Linked DNA regions of Arabidopsis thaliana. The protein of the gene in region 1 interacts with the protein of each later gene in a biochemical or structural test. Each region holds a gene or a part of one and is shown on either strand. Other genes may lie near its edges.

The links.
Region 2: the proteins of RAP74 (region 1) and CPL3 form a complex in vitro, tested with the Arabidopsis thaliana proteins (one study listed by BioGRID).

The regions. Positions count from the first base shown.
Region 1 is NC_003075.7:7,453,001-7,459,579, forward strand, and holds RAP74 (transcription initiation factor IIF subunit alpha RAP74), read left to right. Parts: upstream 1-1,738; 5' UTR 1,739-1,811; intron 1,812-1,937; 5' UTR 1,938-1,969; coding exon 1,970-2,140; intron 2,141-2,224; coding exon 2,225-2,377; intron 2,378-2,459; coding exon 2,460-2,605; intron 2,606-2,681; coding exon 2,682-3,061; intron 3,062-3,198; coding exon 3,199-3,317; intron 3,318-3,494; coding exon 3,495-3,626; intron 3,627-3,735; coding exon 3,736-3,948; intron 3,949-4,041; coding exon 4,042-4,266; intron 4,267-4,372; coding exon 4,373-4,461; coding exon of another isoform or gene 4,462-4,465; exon of another isoform or gene 4,466-4,996; coding exon 4,997-5,318; 3' UTR 5,319-5,355; downstream 5,356-6,579. Other genes in the region: AT4G12600 (Ribosomal protein L7Ae/L30e/S12e/Gadd45 family protein), read left to right, coding at 296-688, 1,050-1,208; AT4G12617 (B3 domain protein), read left to right, coding at 6,180-6,563. UniProt on the Arabidopsis thaliana protein: TFIIF is a general transcription initiation factor that binds to RNA polymerase II and helps to recruit it to the initiation complex in collaboration with TFIIB. It promotes transcription elongation.
Region 2 is NC_003071.7:14,201,320-14,212,350, reverse strand, and holds CPL3 (C-terminal domain phosphatase-like 3), read left to right. Parts: upstream 1-3,158; 5' UTR 3,159-3,553; coding exon 3,554-4,176; exon of another isoform or gene 4,177-4,301; coding exon 4,302-4,437; intron 4,438-4,515; coding exon 4,516-4,571; intron 4,572-4,670; coding exon 4,671-4,731; intron 4,732-4,847; coding exon 4,848-6,161; intron 6,162-6,238; coding exon 6,239-6,877; intron 6,878-6,951; coding exon 6,952-7,098; intron 7,099-7,180; coding exon 7,181-7,449; intron 7,450-7,537; coding exon 7,538-7,649; intron 7,650-7,735; coding exon 7,736-7,993; intron 7,994-8,074; coding exon 8,075-8,121; intron 8,122-8,206; coding exon 8,207-8,270; 3' UTR 8,271-8,950; downstream 8,951-11,031. Other genes in the region: AT2G33550 (Homeodomain-like superfamily protein), read left to right, coding at 864-1,452, 1,541-1,585, 1,861-2,171. UniProt on the Arabidopsis thaliana protein: Completely dephosphorylates 'Ser-2', and partially 'Ser-5' and 'Ser-7' of the heptad repeats YSPTSPS in the C-terminal domain (CTD) of the largest RNA polymerase II subunit (RPB1). Involved in defense response.

The DNA.
Region 1 (6,579 bases):
CTCGTCTTCTTCGTCTTCGATCTTCTCTGGTGAAGCAAACAAAACACGATCTGAGATTCTGAGAGAAGAGCTGAGAATCCGATAATTTAGTGGAAATTATTTTATTTTTTTTATTTAAAAAATATCTGAAACCTTCTGAGTCAGAGAGAGGCTTTGATGTGTTCCCTTTATAAAACCCTAATTCGTTTGTCTATTAAACCCAAACTAAAACCCTAGCTACCTTGTTCTCCTCACCGCTTCTTTCTTCCCTGAACTCAGAACTTAGAACAAAGAACTCTCGTAGACGAAGAAGAAGATGACGGTAGAAGGAGTGAACCCTAAGGCGTATCCGTTAGCTGATTCTCAGTTATCGATAACGATTCTTGATCTTGTTCAACAAGCTACGAATTACAAACAGTTAAAGAAAGGAGCTAATGAAGCTACCAAGACATTGAACCGTGGGATCTCTGAGTTCATTGTTATGGCTGCTGATACTGAGCCTCTCGAGATTCTTCTTCATCTTCCTCTTCTTGCTGAAGATAAGGTATTTGAATTTCTTCTTATCGTTTCACTTTCTTATGAATCTCAATTAGTAGTTTCTTTGGCTCTTGCAAGTTTTACTGGATTCACTTGGGTATCTTCTTCATATGATAAAAAGATAAGACTTTATTGGCTATTAGACTCCAGTTTTGAGATTGTGATTGTTGATGTTCGTAGTAATCACTTAGGTAATTTAGTTTATGAATGTAGGAGACAGATTCAATTAGGATTTTTAGGCATTGAGAAGTTCGTTTGTTCTGTATTAACGTAGCTTGTGTAATGAGTTAAATCTGTGATTCTTGGTCTTAGGATTGACAATATCATTACTTTAGCTTCTGAGTATTATGCTCTGTTGATTCATGAATGTTTAGTTGACAGTTCCCATTCAAGTTTTTTTTTTTTGGCCTATTTAAATTTGGCTGCACAAACATATCTTTATTTGTATTCAGCAAATCTGTTTCACAAGCAACATTCTGATTCTGATTCTTTTACTAATTAGTTGTTCTCTCTCTGGCTTTGAACTATTGCAGAATGTGCCGTATGTGTTTGTGCCATCGAAACAAGCCCTTGGAAGAGCATGTGATGTAACCAGACCCGTGATCGCTTGTTCCGTTACATCAAACGAGGCTAGTCAGTTGAAATCTCAAATTCAGCACCTTAAGGATGCCATTGAGAAGCTCCTCATCTAGATTCTTGGTGGAATGAATGAATGATGGGTCTCTCCATTTATGAAGAGGCTTGGACTGAAGTGAGTTTATGTGCAACTTTTTAGCCTATGAGAAAAACAAAAAACTTGTGAACGAATCCTATCCTTTTTGAAGATTGTAATGCTTTTTATTTGATATTGTGTTGGTGCCAATGCATTTATGAACAACAAGAATCCTTTTAAAGTGAGTTTCTTCAATTTGGTTATTTGTTTGGTGACTTTGGTCTTTTGTTGCATAATGGGATAATTGATATGTAATATTGGGAGCCAAATGAAGCACGTAGAACCTATCATAAGTAGGATACAAACTTTCTCCTTCTGCTACTAAGCACAAGATATTAAAACTAGCATGTTTGTATCAAAAATATAAATATTGGATATGGTTAAATGAATGTTATTAAGTTGAGACCCAAAAAAAAACACTTGTATTCTTTGGATCAGTCAAAAGGGTAAATCAGTCTTTTAACATGTAAGTCTTCGGACTCACTATTTATAACCTCCTCTTCATTAGAGATCCCAAAGCTTAACATTCTCTCAAAATCATTCGCAAACAAAACTCTGAATTGCAATCTCAAATCTCAGAAAGGTAATAAGAACCCTAGATTCCAACAACACAATCGTTAGATTTTATCTTGGATTCCTTCTGTTAGCTTCGCAATTAGATTTTCGAAAATCGTGAAGCCCTAAATTCTCTCTTCTTTTACGGTTTCAGAAAGAAGACGATTTCCTTGGGATCAGAACATTATGTCGAACTGTTTGCAATTGAATACGTCTTGTGTTGGTTGCGGATCACAATCCGATTTATATGGAAGCTCTTGTAGACACATGACGTTGTGTTTGAAGTGTGGTAGAACCATGGCGCAGAATAAATCTAAGTGTCACGAGTGTGGAACCGTCGTTACACGTTTGATTCGGGTTAGATTTTGTGTGTTTCTTCAAACAATTTTGAGTTTCTGAAGAAAATTTTGATAAAATTGTTGTTTGGGTGAAATTGTTTAGGAGTATAACGTTCGTGCTGCGGCACCTACGGATAAGAACTACTTCATTGGTAGATTTGTGACTGGTCTTCCTAATTTCAAGAAAGGTTCTGAGAATAAATGGTCTCTTCGTAAAGATATACCGCAAGGTCGTCAGTTTACAGATGCACAACGGGTAATTTTGTGTTTGTTTTGGATCATACCAATCATTTTGATGGTTTTTACAATGAGTTTTGTGTGGATTCTAATTTTTGTAGGAGAAGTTAAAGAACAAACCTTGGATCTTGGAAGATGAAACTGGACAGTTTCAGTACCAGGGACATCTTGAAGGCTCTCAGTCTGCTACTTACTATCTCTTAGTGATGCAGAACAAAGAGTTTGTTGCGATTCCTGCTGGTTCTTGGTATGGAGAATCAAATTACCGTTGCTTCTTCTGTTGTTGTATTATCCGAATTCTGATTATTTTTGTGCTGTGTTAGGTATAACTTCAACAAGGTTGCACAGTATAAGCAACTTACATTGGAAGAAGCGGAAGAGAAGATGAAGAATCGGAGAAAAACGGCTGATGGTTATCAAAGGTGGATGATGAAAGCTGCGAATAATGGTCCAGCGTTGTTTGGAGAAGTGGATAATGAAAAGGAGAGCGGTGGAACCAGTGGAGGTGGTGGTAGGGGTCGTAAGAAGTCATCAGGCGGTGATGAAGAGGAAGGAAATGTTTCTGACAGAGGGGATGAAGATGAAGAGGAAGAGGCGTCACGGAAAAGTAGACTTGGACTTAATAGAAAGAGTAATGATGATGATGATGAAGAAGGTCCAAGGGGTGGTGATCTTGACATGGATGATGATGACATTGAGAAGGGTGAGTGATCTATTACCAAATGATCGTCAAGAAGCTTAAGAATGACTTTAGCATTTTCGTCAATAGATTGACATGATTGTTCTTCATTGTCTATTTAACAAAACTGCTGAAATGTCTGTAAATTATAATGCATTCAGGGGATGACTGGGAGCACGAGGAAATTTTCACGGATGATGATGAAGCAGTCGGTAATGATCCTGAGGAACGTGAAGACCTTCTGGCTCCTGAAATTCCTGCTCCTCCAGAAATAAAGCAGGTCTGTACTTACTATAGTGCTTTACTTCCAATGTACAATTTTCTGTGAAACTAACTGTAGTAATTTCTGTTGGTAATCCCATTTATATGTTATCCAAGTTTCAATGTTTACTAATTACAGGATTGTTGTGCCTTTACTTCCTATGAGGTCGTAACTTTCTTTTGACATCCCTTGCAGGATGAGGATGATGAAGAAAATGAAGAAGAGGAGGGAGGTTTGAGCAAATCTGGTAAAGAGTTGAAGAAACTGCTTGGTAAGGCTAATGGTTTGGACGAATCTGATGAAGACGATGATGATGATTCTGATGATGTAAGCCCTCTTTTGACATATTTTACTTCTTAAAAAATTGTTAAATTTTCAATCAAACTCATTTTATCTGGTTTGGATACACGCAAATCATCATGAATGTCATTCTTAGGAGGAGGAGACAAACTACGGTACAGTTACGAACTCAAAACAGAAGGAGGCGGCGAAAGAAGAACCTGTTGATAATGCACCTGCAAAACCTGCACCATCTGGACCTCCTCGTGGAACACCTCCTGCAAAACCATCCAAGGGAAAGAGAAAACTAAACGACGGCGATTCTAAAAAGCCTAGCAGCTCTGTTCAAAAGAAAGTGAAGACTGAAAATGTAAGATACTTGATTTCTATGTTTGAGAAAGAGTTGATCGTTTGTGCTGGATTTGATTTCTAACAAACAGGTTTCTGTAATCTTTGTAAGCAGGATCCGAAATCTTCTTTGAAAGAAGAGAGAGCAAACACAGTTTCCAAATCCAACACACCAACAAAAGCTGTGAAAGCTGAACCAGCTTCAGCTCCTGCATCATCATCCTCAGCTGCGACTGGGCCTGTGACTGAAGATGAAATCCGCGCTGTTCTGATGGAAAAGAAGCAAGTCACTACACAGGATCTTGTTTCCAGGTTTAAGGCAAGACTTAAGACCAAAGAGGTAATATTTAGTCTAATATTCCTTCTTGAAGTGACCATATGGTTTTTATCTGAGCTTATTCTGGACAAATCAATCGTTTGTGTTATATAACTGTGTCTTTTTACAGGACAAGAATGCCTTTGCCAATATTCTGAGGAAGATCTCAAAGATACAGAAGAACGCTGGTTCTCAAAACTTCGTCGTTTTGAGAGAAAAGTGAGGACTTCCTGTTTTCACAGCTAACTCTTTTCAAAAAGATTTCAAGATATCTCATGAGCTAGTTAAAATAAGAATGTTTTTCTCATTTCTTGATTTCAGATGTTTAAAGTTGGACCTATTTTTTTCCCATGACACTATTAGTAATTGAAAATCTTCAAATGTTTTATTCGAAAAAAATGTTTTATGCGAAGGTTTTCAAAAATGGAATGTTCCAGTGAAAGCCCAATTGTGAAGAGGAAAATAGTAACCATAAAAAAGCCCATTCGTAGGGATCCTATTGTGATTAGGATTTACTGAGATTCGGATAAATACAATTAGGTTTCCAACTGCTTATATGATGGAGAGATAAGATCGTTGGGACTCTTATATAAAGAAACAGAGTTTCTCCTAAGACGAGATTCTACTACTTTTCTCTCCAAAAAAAAGAAAATCAGAGTCATTAAAAGGACAATATAAGAAACTTTGCCTTGGTGAGCAAGCAACGCTACAATATAAAAGGCGAAGTATTATTGTTCTCTCCTTTGTTTTACAGATGTCAGCCTAAACCAGGGAAGAGAGAAAGTCGTGTGAACAAGCTCAACATCCGATCTAATCTTCAACCACGCAAGATGGAACTTGTGACTGAAGACGAAATCCGCAAAGTTCTGATGGAGAAGAAGCAATTAACTACACTGGAACTTGTTATGAGGTTTAAGGAAAGACTTACAACCACAGAGGACAAGGATTCCTTTTCCCATATTCTCAAGAAGATCGCAAAGTTACAGAAGAACCCTGGTTCTGAAAAGTTTGTTGTTGTTTTGAGAGATAATGTTACTCCGCTTGCTTCTGATCTAACTCGTTTATCTATTTCATGATCTCATGTGAATTTAGTAATAATAATAAGAATTTTTCTCGTGTCTTGTTTTCAAAAGGTTTTCAACCGGACCGATTTGGTTCTCGGTGGTGATTTATATGTTAACACAATTACGAAAATATTAACAAAGATGACATCAGATCTTTTCGATGATAATTAATAGTTTGTGTTTTCATATAATTTTCTATTTTGTGGTAATCAACATATGTATCGACAATACAATTAATTTAACACATTTGATAATCTAATTAACACTACAGTAATATTTTGGCTAAAAATAGGTTATATTTTGTAACACGTCTTAGTAAGACGGTCTTACAATATCTTTTTTTTTTTTTAACACGTCTCACATTATCTTACCGAGTTTAAATTTGCAAGCTTACAATTACATGCACCAACAATGTCAAATACAAATCAAAACTGAAACATTTTTTTTTCTTTCTAAAAGTGATGTACTTTCAAAAGAAATCAAGTAATTAATAGTTTCAGTGTTTACTATTAAAAAAATGTCAAATCATCTTTGTCAAATTTTAGTTTACTTTTAACACGTGTTAGAATTGAAAAACTATAAATCTATATATGTCATGATAACATCAAACTATTTATTAAACAAAATTAGTGTTATTTAGTAAAGACAAAACATATTTAATTAATTGTTAATCTCACAATATTTATGAATTAAAGAAAATTGTATCTGCTTATTATCATTATATATACTTTTTTTTTTTGGACGAATTGTTATTATATATACCCTTAACACATAAACAAGGAGATAATAGAAACCTGACATAAATATTTACAGAGTAATTAAGGAACATTAAAAACCGATTTTCATATATATATTGTGTTTAACTCATATCATATGGCAGGTAATAGGTATTTTGAAGATCAGCCGTATGAGGTAGAAAACCCTTTTAACATCATGATAACGTTGTCACCATTTGACATAGATTTGAGTACTACGATAATGATGCCAAAAACGTTACTAGAGGCCAACTTATTTCGTTTCATGGATATAAGTTATCTCGTCGGATTGTTACAAGTTCCTAACAAGCCAAAGGTGATTGAACTTTTTGATATTGATACCAAAATTACAACATTTCTTACCATAAGAAGAGATGGAGATAATTTCAAATTCCATGGATGGAATAATATTCTCGAACGAAAACATTACAAGGCAGGCGATGTTATTGCATTTTGGTGGGATCTTCATCACACTAGACTTAATTTCAAACATGTTGCTTAGTTGATGGAGCGGATCC
Region 2 (11,031 bases), on another chromosome or scaffold:
AATCATTTAAATGATTTAGGGTACTGTTACTAATTATGATATGTGACTGTTGAAAACTTCTACAATGTTTATAGCATTTTTTGTAATGGAACTCCCAAAAACCCTGAGGGCTCTTAAAGATCACTAGGTTATTAAAGCAGAGACTCACTAATATTGTCATTATCTTAAGCTGACAAAAACGTAGAAAAATCCAAAAAAATAAATGGCGGAGGAAATTGACCAAAACGCATATATAAGGATTATGGAGTAAAAGCAACTTATGGTAGTTGGAGAGAAATTAACCAATAGAAATACTCAAAGGGCGCGTTTATTGCCATAATCTACGCCCCCTCCATATTTACACACAACCATATCATAATATTACCAAATATGAAAATTATATGTGCATTATCTTTATTACATAAACAATAAATACAGTTTATTATTAATATAAGAAAAAGATAATTTTTGATTTTATTTTTAGAGTGATCTTGGCCGTAGAAAATGAGGTGATGAAAGTGATGTGTCAAAAAAATCAGGAAATAGCCATATCAAGCATGTAATCCCTAATTACGGTCTAAAGGAATTAAAGATTACGGTCTACTTAAATTCAACATATCTACATGAACCTTATGAAAGGCTTAAGGGACGAAATTAAAATAAAATGATAACACAAGGGTCAATTTTATCTACAGTCACCAAATTAAAAATCAGATTAAGATACATTAAAAAGTCATTATCTCACAAAATAAATCTTTTCTTTGCTCTTTCATTTGTAGCTCCTCTCTCTCTCCGGCGCTAACGGGATGTCCTCACCATAACGCCGTTAAGTCTGGAACCCGTTTGAACGGAATTATCAAAACGGGAAGGAATATTCCGTTTGAATGGCTCTGGAACAGTTAGGATTAGGAGTGAGCGCCGTTGACGGTGGAGAGAACAGTAGCGCGCCGTCAAATGACGGTGGAGATGACGGCGTTAAGACGGCGAGACTTCCTCGTTGGACGAGACAAGAGATTCTGGTTCTGATTCAAGGGAAGAGAGTGGCGGAGAACAGAGTCCGGCGAGGGAGAGCGGCGGGTATGGCTCTCGGGTCGGGTCAAATGGAGCCTAAATGGGCTTCTGTTTCGTCTTACTGTAAACGTCACGGTGTAAATCGTGGGCCGGTTCAGTGCCGGAAAAGATGGAGCAATCTCGCCGGAGATTATAAGAAGATTAAAGAATGGGAGTCTCAGATTAAGGAAGAGACTGAGTCCTATTGGGTTATGAGGAATGATGTTCGTAGAGAGAAGAAGCTTCCTGGTTTTTTCGATAAGGAGGTTTATGATATTGTTGACGGTGGTGTGATTCCTCCGGCGGTTCCGGTTCTTTCGCTTGGATTGGCTCCGGCGTCAGACGAGGGATTGTTGTCTGATTTAGATCGGAGAGAAAGTCCTGAGAAGTTGAATTCTACTCCGGTGGCTAAATCAGTTACTGGTAAAATTCAGATCAAAGTTTAAGTTTTTATTTTGTATGTTCATCAGAATGATTCCATTTCTTATGAAGTTCAATTTTTTTGATGAAGATGTTATAGACAAAGAGAAGCAAGAAGCTTGTGTAGCAGATCAAGGTTTGTTTATCTCTCTGTGTGTATTTGCTTGATCTATTGCTCTATATGCTAATCTCAAACTAGTTTTAGAGCTCTAGAGTGTGTTTCTCTTGAGTCTTGACTATGTAGTTATGTTGTCATGTAGATAAATGATGTTTTCGTATTCTAAAATGCATCTCAAATTGTGTTATAAAAGTAGTTTAACAATCTTCCCTATGGTGTGTGATCTTTTCGTTTATGTTGAAGGGTCTCTATGTTCTTGTTTTTATACTAAAATGTTGAGTTTGAACTTGAAGGTAGAGTGAAAGAGAAACAGCCAGAAGCAGCAAACGTGGAAGGTGGATCGACATCACAAGAAGAGAGGAAGCGTAAACGGACATCTTTTGGTGAAAAGGAAGAGGAAGAAGAAGAAGGAGAAACAAAGAAGATGCAGAATCAGTTGATAGAGATACTAGAAAGAAACGGGCAGTTGTTGGCGGCACAGCTTGAGGTTCAGAATTTAAACTTAAAACTAGACAGAGAGCAAAGAAAAGATCACGGTGATAGCTTAGTCGCTGTTCTCAATAAGCTCGCTGATGCTGTGGCAAAAATCGCGGATAAGATGTAGATTTAGTAAAAGTTAGTTGTATATCACTTTGGCCATTACTTCTCATTCTTCTTCTTCCTTTTTTTTCAATCATTTATCACCATTGTTGATTGAATATTGATGCCACCACAAGAGGTTATTATACACATCTTATATAAACATTGAGATTTATACGGGTTTAGGATATCATTTGCCTTAGTGTTACCTTTTGACTGATTTGAACATCTTGATGTGTTGATGATTTGTTGCATAGCATGAAATTGAGTTTTCATCTTTCTTGCTTCCCCTAACAACAGGATTAATAACATAATATTAAATGGTATACGTAGTCATATGACCCTTGAACATATACAAATAGTTACTCAATTGGTTAGAAAATGACTTTGGTATATGCAGATTGAAGATCTGCCACTTTATGTTGTTTGGTAATCTGATAGCTACTTTGAAAACAATTTCTGTATTTTAACTTCTTCTTTTATAATCTATAGAAATTAAATTGAAACCGTATCTAACTCGAACCAATTTTTTTGTCTGGATTGTAGTGCAACATGAACTATATTTAACATATTATCGTGAGCTTGAATTTGAAACCAAAAGTTGTACTAATACCAAAACTCAGTGATGCAAAATATCAAATAAGTTCCCATATTACTTTGGATTATCTTTCACAAAATAGTTGTTATGCACATAATTCCAGTCCAAATTTGTTTTTTTCGTCAGTTATAATAAAAAGACAAGCAACAGTTTCATAAAAGCCGCACGACATATTTGACCACTGAAATTTATGTACGAACTTCGACTTCCATAGAGGTAAGTTAACTGACAAACTTTTCGAGTCAAAAACTTTGGATCATCAGACACAAAACTAGTAAAGAAAATTCACAGAGATGTCTACTTTCGTCATTTAAAATACCCCTCATCTGGCGCCAATCACACGTCGCGCTGACATAATTTACCTCGTTCGGATCGCTGACGTGTACGGTCTAGATTAAACTCCTTCTCTCAACTAGATTCTCCTTCTTCTTCTCTCTCTCTCCCTTCGTCTATATTTCACATTCTCTTCAAGTTTCGGCCTTCGGAGAAAATAATAAGCATCTCAAAATTTGGATCTGGAGAAGAAAATTTGAAAACTCTCTTGTTCTCTCAAAGGTGGTGGTAGATCTCGAATTGGGAATTTTCGAAATTGTGAATCTTTGAAAAAAAAAGAGTTAAATTGACAAAACATTTCCTTAACTTGAATCTCTGTTTTTTGAATCGTTTAAATTAGAGAAGAACCCTAATTTTTTCTGTTTTGGAGATCTCTTCTCTGGACCGGGGACTAAAGTGGGCGATTTTCGAATTCAAGGTTTTTGTTTCTGAATCGGGTTTGGATTCGTTTTTGAGCAAAGTTTTGAGATTTTTACATGCTTGTAGCTCGATCTGGTTGTTCTAGAACCCTAATTCGAATGGGCAACGATGAAAACTTGATGGTAATGGTGGATGTTGAGGAAGGTGAGATTCCTGATTCTGTCAACACTGAGATTGAAGTTAAGCACAAGAGTACTACTACTACGGCCGATGTTGGCGGAGACGTCGATGTTGGGGTTGTGGCTGGAGGAAGAGGAGGAGGTGGTGGTGGTTCTAATGGCAACTCTAGGGTTTGGACAATGGAGGAGTTGATTTCTCAGTATCCTGCTTACCGTCCATATGCGAATTCGGGTTTATCTAATTTAGCTTGGGCTCGAGCTGTGCAGAACAAACCTTTTAATGAAGGTTTGGTAATGGATTATGAACCAAGAGAGAGTGATAAGATTGTGATTGAAGATAGTGATGATGAGAAAGAAGAAGGTGAGTTGGAGGAAGGTGAAATTGATTTGGTCGACAATGCTTCTGATGACAATTTGGTTGAGAAGGATACTGAATCTGTTGTGTTGATAAGTGCTGATAAAGTTGAAGATGATCGAATTCTAAAGGAGAGAGATTTGGAGAAGAAAGTGAAACTAATTCGTGGTGTTTTGGAGAGTACTTCGTTGGTAGAAGCACAGACGTAAGACTATCCTGAGAATGGAGAGATCAGATGATGATGATGAAAAAAATTAAAACATCTGTCAGAGTTTGATGAGTGAAGTTTGATTTTTTTTTCTTTTCATGTTTTGTTCTGTTTCGTTTCAGCGGATTTGAAGGAGTTTGTTCCAGAATATTGGGGGCGTTAGAGTCTTTGCGAGAGCTGGTTTCAGATAATGATGATTTTCCGAAGAGGGATACTTTAGTTCAATTGTCATTTGCTTCTCTTCAAACCATTAACTATGTATGTGCCACTCAAGATCCCTTCCCTCAATCTTCTGTTACGTTTACGGTTTTATGTAACTAATCTATTATCTTTCAGGTGTTTTGCTCGATGAACAATATTTCCAAGGAGCGTAATAAGGAGACTATGTCAAGGTTGTTGTGAATCTGTGTTTTTACTGTGCCAGCCTTTGATTAAAGATGCTTCTTGGAGTCCTTTGATTGCTCACATTATTTTTGGTTTTTCTTGTGCAGATTGCTGACTCTTGTAAATGACCATTTTTCCCAATTTCTCTCATTCAACCAGAAAAATGAGGTGCGTTTCCTTTGGTTTACCTGTTGAAGTAGCACAAGTCAAAATCTTTTCCACTGTTCCAAACATTGGGATGAGTGCCTTCTCGTCTTACATAAGTACATGTCTTGGTTTTGCAGATAGAGACCATGAATCAGGATTTAAGCCGTTCTGCTATTGCAGTTTTTGCTGGAACCAGCAGTGAAGAGAATGTTAATCAAATGACTCAGCCGAGTAATGGTGATTCTTTTCTTGCCAAAAAGCTGACTTCAGAAAGTACACATCGAGGAGCCGCCTACTTAAGGAGTAGGTTGCCTATGCTGCCTCTTCTAGACCTTCATAAGGATCATGATGCAGACAGCCTTCCGTCGCCCACAAGGGAAACAACACCAAGTTTACCTGTAAATGGTCGCCATACAATGGTTAGACCAGGTTTTCCCGTTGGTAGAGAGAGCCAAACGACTGAGGGTGCCAAAGTCTATTCATATGAGAGTGATGCCCGTAAAGCAGTTTCTACCTACCAGCAAAAATTTGGTCTTAATTCAGTGTTTAAGACAGATGACCTTCCAAGCCCAACCCCATCAGGAGAACCTAATGATGGCAATGGAGACGTTGGTGGAGAGGTTTCCAGTTCTGTTGTTAAGAGCTCGAACCCGGGGAGTCACCTAATTTATGGGCAAGACGTTCCTCTGCCCTCCAATTTTAATTCTAGAAGCATGCCTGTTGCAAATTCTGTTTCTAGCACTGTTCCACCACATCATCTGTCAATTCATGCTATTTCTGCACCAACTGCCTCTGATCAGACAGTGAAACCTTCTGCAAAGAGTCGAGATCCAAGACTAAGGCTTGCGAAACCTGATGCTGCCAATGTAACCATTTATTCGTACTCGTCTGGCGACGCTAGAAATCTTTCAAAAGTAGAGCTTTCTGCAGACTTGGTGAACCCAAGAAAACAAAAAGCCGCTGATGAATTTTTAATTGATGGGCCTGCATGGAAAAGACAAAAGAGTGATACGGATGCACCAAAAGCAGCTGGAACTGGTGGCTGGCTAGAGGATACAGAATCATCGGGACTTCTAAAACTGGAATCCAAGCCCAGGCTAATTGAGAACGGTGTAACATCTATGACATCAAGTGTTATGCCCACGAGTGCTGTTTCTGTGAGCCAAAAAGTACGGACAGCTTCAACTGATACTGCATCATTGCAATCCCTTTTGAAGGATATTGCAGTAAATCCTACAATGCTACTGAATCTCCTGAAAATGGGAGAAAGACAAAAGGTACCTGAAAAAGCTATTCAGAAACCCATGGATCCAAGAAGAGCAGCACAACTCCCTGGCTCTTCCGTACAACCAGGGGTATCAACACCGCTTAGTATACCTGCATCAAATGCTTTAGCTGCTAATTCTTTAAACTCAGGAGTACTTCAGGATTCTTCCCAAAACGCCCCTGCAGTGAGTATCCTTTATATATAGGGATTCTAGAACCTTTTCTTTCAATTTTTTCTCCAACTATTTTTTGGTACTTTCAGGCCGAATCTGGAAGCATTCGCATGAAACCTCGTGATCCTCGCCGAATCCTGCATGGAAGTACTCTTCAAAGAACGGACTCTTCAATGGAAAAGCAGACCAAAGTGAATGATCCTTCCACTCTAGGAACCTTGACTATGAAGGGTAAGGCAGAAGATTTGGAAACACCTCCCCAGCTTGATCCACGGCAAAATATTAGCCAGAATGGTACCAGCAAAATGAAAATTTCGGGTGAACTTCTCAGTGGGAAGACACCAGACTTTTCAACACAATTCACCAAAAACCTGAAAAGTATTGCTGATATGGTTGTCGTATCACAACAACTTGGCAATCCCCCAGCAAGTATGCATTCGGTACAGCTTAAGACGGAGAGAGATGTTAAACATAATCCTTCAAATCCCAATGCCCAGGATGAGGATGTGTCAGTTTCAGCAGCATCAGTAACGGCTGCAGCTGGTCCCACTCGTTCCATGAACAGTTGGGGAGATGTGGAACACCTATTTGAAGGATATGATGACATTCAGAGAGTAGCTATTCAAAGAGAGAGAGTTCGTAGGTTAGAGGAACAGAATAAAATGTTTGCATCTCAAAAGCTCTCTCTTGTCTTGGATATAGACCACACCCTTCTCAATTCAGCTAAGGTTAGTTTATCTTCCTTCTGGTTTGATTACTTTTCTTATATTTTTTCTAAAGTTTTTGTTTCTATCGTTTTCAGTTTAATGAGGTTGAATCCCGCCACGAGGAGATATTAAGAAAGAAGGAAGAACAAGATCGTGAGAAACCATATAGACATCTCTTTCGTTTCCTGCACATGGGAATGTGGACTAAACTAAGACCAGGGATTTGGAATTTTTTGGAGAAGGTGACTTAGTTAATAATATTATCTTACTACTGTTCAACTACGTGTGGAAGACTTAAAATGTAAATATTCCTGTGAATTTCAGGCTAGCAAGCTGTACGAGTTACATCTTTACACTATGGGAAACAAATTGTATGCTACAGAGATGGCCAAGCTGCTTGATCCCAAAGGGGTTCTATTTAATGGACGGGTCATATCGAAAGGAGATGATGGAGATCCTCTTGATGGAGACGAACGAGTACCTAAGAGCAAAGATTTAGAAGGAGTTATGGGTATGGAATCGTCTGTGGTGATCATAGATGACTCTGTCCGAGTGTGGCCTCAACACAAAATGAATTTAATAGCTGTTGAAAGGTATCATCTTTCACACTATGGCTAACATGAGACCGTAGTACTTACTGTATAATATTTTCCTGCTGATGTTAATTATCTTGTTTTGCAGATATCTTTATTTCCCTTGTAGTAGACGGCAATTTGGGCTTCTTGGTCCTTCTCTTCTTGAGTTAGATCGTGATGAGGTACCTGAGGAGGGCACATTGGCATCTTCATTAGCGGTCTGCACTTTGTCTATGCACCTTGTTATGTTATTTTCTACTCTTCGTTTTGGATCTCAGCATCATCACATGGTTTCACTGTGCAGGTTATTGAGAAAATACATCAAAATTTCTTCTCGCACACTTCATTAGATGAAGTTGATGTGAGAAATATTTTAGCTTCTGAGCAACGAAAGATATTGGCTGGTTGTAGGATTGTATTTAGTCGGATAATCCCAGTGGGTGAAGCCAAACCGCACTTGCATCCCCTGTGGCAAACTGCTGAGCAGTTTGGTGCTGTCTGCACAACCCAGGTGGATGAACATGTCACTCATGTTGTCACAAATTCTCTTGGAACCGACAAGGTAAGGAAGTCTGCAAATTTTAACTGTTGGGCCACAGAAGAAATATCATTGGGGAGATTCTGAATGTGTCTGTTTGAGCAGGTAAATTGGGCACTAACCAGAGGTAGATTTGTTGTTCATCCTGGCTGGTAAGGCCCTCTTGGTCTCCTCTTAAAGATAGAAAAAAAAACTGGTCTATTCCTGATTGTAATAGTTTTCATCGTCTGAGTGTAGGGTGGAAGCATCAGCTTTTCTGTACCAGAGAGCAAATGAGAACTTATATGCCATCAACCCGTAAACCAAATCCATGATCCGCCCTCTTAAATCCCCACCATTTGGTGGAATTGAGACTTAAGAAGGCCTGAAAACCCAATAAGTCATATTGGGTTGATTAGGCTAGGCCCCGGGGTACATACACATTCTTTTGCCCCAAAAGAAGCGAATTCATTAAAATGCCAAAGGTATTGGGGGCTTTTAACAAAACGAACTCCACATTGTATCAATGGTCTAGAGTAGATCTACTTACTTTGGGATGGTGAAGGAAACTAGTCTGTCTCTGAATCTAAAAAAATAACACCAGAGAGACCCAGCATTAGAAAGTATGATGTGCCAAGGTCACGTGTCAAAGGAGAGGATCATGTTCAATTTTGGTTCTCATCTGTTGATTCATGATCGGTCAGATAAATGTTTGTTGTGGTATTTATGTCTCTTGTCGGAAGCAATTCTGATGGGGTACCAAGGCAACAGAGAAGAGAAGAAAGCTTTAATTGAAATGTTCATATGCCTTACTAATCCCCAGAATTAAATGTGGTGGAGAAACCAAATTCATTAAGTATGACAAACAGAGACCACATTAAACAGTTACTTGACGTCTAAGTTATTGGTAATGGATCATTATTAACCGTAAAACCACAATGGACTATATACTATTAAGGGTACCATCAATTGGTAAATGACTGAATGGAATTTGGCACGTCATTTCATTCTGCAGGTACTGATGCTTTTGATGAATATTTAGAACACACAAAAAAAAAACTTTTAAGAACTCAGAAATTAATCCTCAGGATCTCTCTATGCTTTTGCACCATTTGGGTAATCGATTCGATTATGTGAAGACTATAATAACCAAAAATGCTAATTTTAAAAGACCAAAATGATTGTATTTCTAGTGAAAGTCAAATCTTCCATATAACAAAATCTTGCACGCAGCCTCTACCGAGTTGATGATTTGGAGTTTGAAATTAATGTAATACCTTGGTTTAACAAATTCAATATATATAGTATATATTCTATTAAGGGTGAATCCTTCCGAGAGTATCTTTGCTAAATTTATCATGAATATCAAATATATCATAGTATTATCCTATTGTTAGCATATATTTGATACACTAAAGATAAAGAGAAAAGGGAGAGACAAAAGGTATGAAATTGGTGATACCACATAAGAAGTGGTTGTGTTATAGGCATGCGGCTCTTTAATTTAATAGTCCCCACCACATCATACACTTTTGCCCCATTTCTCGAATCTTAATCAAACAAGCTAGCTTTTGCTAACTATGGGAGAAGGTGGTCTTGTGAATCATATCACATATTGATTTCTAATTATGTTAATGAACTTTTCTTCCAAAGTTTAGACCCTTTTCAATCTGACCTAAGTCTTTTTGTGTAACTTCCAAACCAAATTAGCATGGTATATTATATACAAACGCACATCAAGATGGTAGTAACACAAAAGTGTCGTAGGATTGAAAGACACAACTTTTTGGTCTTGGGATTGTTTTTTTGTTTTGTGTGTGTGTGGATCTTACTGTTTAGCAGGGATATCCAATTAAGTACAAATAACTCAATATTAATCACATGTTCATAGAAAACTATAATTCTTTTCCCCTGTCTAAAGTTTACAGATTTAGCTGTTTCAAAATGTACATTATTCAATAATACTATGTACATCATTCTTAAAACAAAGAGCAGGTCCATGATAACTCAAATTTGAATCCAATAAAGTTAAGATATTGAAAAGCACCACTTGGCTTAAGTAATTAAACAAATGCAAAGCCAAGAGACCTTAAAACCTCAAGGCAGATAAAGCAACAGAGAGATCTGTCGAGATGAGTTAGTCTGTTTTACAGAGAAGATTAATCTTTATTTATCACTCAATGGTTTTAAACTGTAGTGATTCAGATAGACAAAATAAATATAAAAAAATTGTAACAAATAGATTTTATGGAAATAGTTTGGTTTACATTGGATTGTTCTTTTTCGTTTTTCGGTTACCATTTGAACCGAATATATTTTTAACACATAAGAACCGAAAGTGTGAATGTGTGTGCGCATTTCTCCTTGTAATTCGTGTATTAAAGAACACAATGTAATAATTATTTTGTTGCTAAAAAAAGTGATAGTACTTAAAACTTAGTTAGTAAAGGTGTTTGCCAAAAAAAAAAAAGTTAGTTAAGGTAAAAGGGAATTGAGTATGGAAAATGGAAGATCAGAGACGAGAGGTGAGAAGGTGGGGATGGGCCAGTAACACTCTTTTAGCCAACCTATGGCTATAAAGGCAAAAGTTGTTTTCAGTTTCAGACCAAATTGAATTTGTCTTTTACCCATTTCTACCTCTCTATTTCATTTCCCTAACAACTTAAATTGTTATAATTCATTTTTCTATGGTCAAGAAAGATAATGCATTTAGGCTGTGAATGGAGCATGCGGAGCAGGAGGATCCAGTTGCAAGATGGGGTGGATTATTGATTATTTGTTGCCATTTACATAAGTTATGTTCTCTAGAGTGTGTTTAGGAAAATAAACTGACTTGTCAAACATGTCATTCTTTCTTAAACCTTGTTCGCATCCGCGGTCCATCAATAAATGATCCAAATAGTATTGGATCAAGTTAGCAGAGAATAAAACGCAAAATCTTACGTTAACTCTATTTTGTACGGTGTAACTTTCAAAATTTGGTGTAGTATTTCTTTGAAGCTTAACTTCTAGTATTAGAAGGACCTTAGCTTTATTTGAGATACTAAGCATAAGTTTCAAAATGTATTTATCTGAAATTCAAA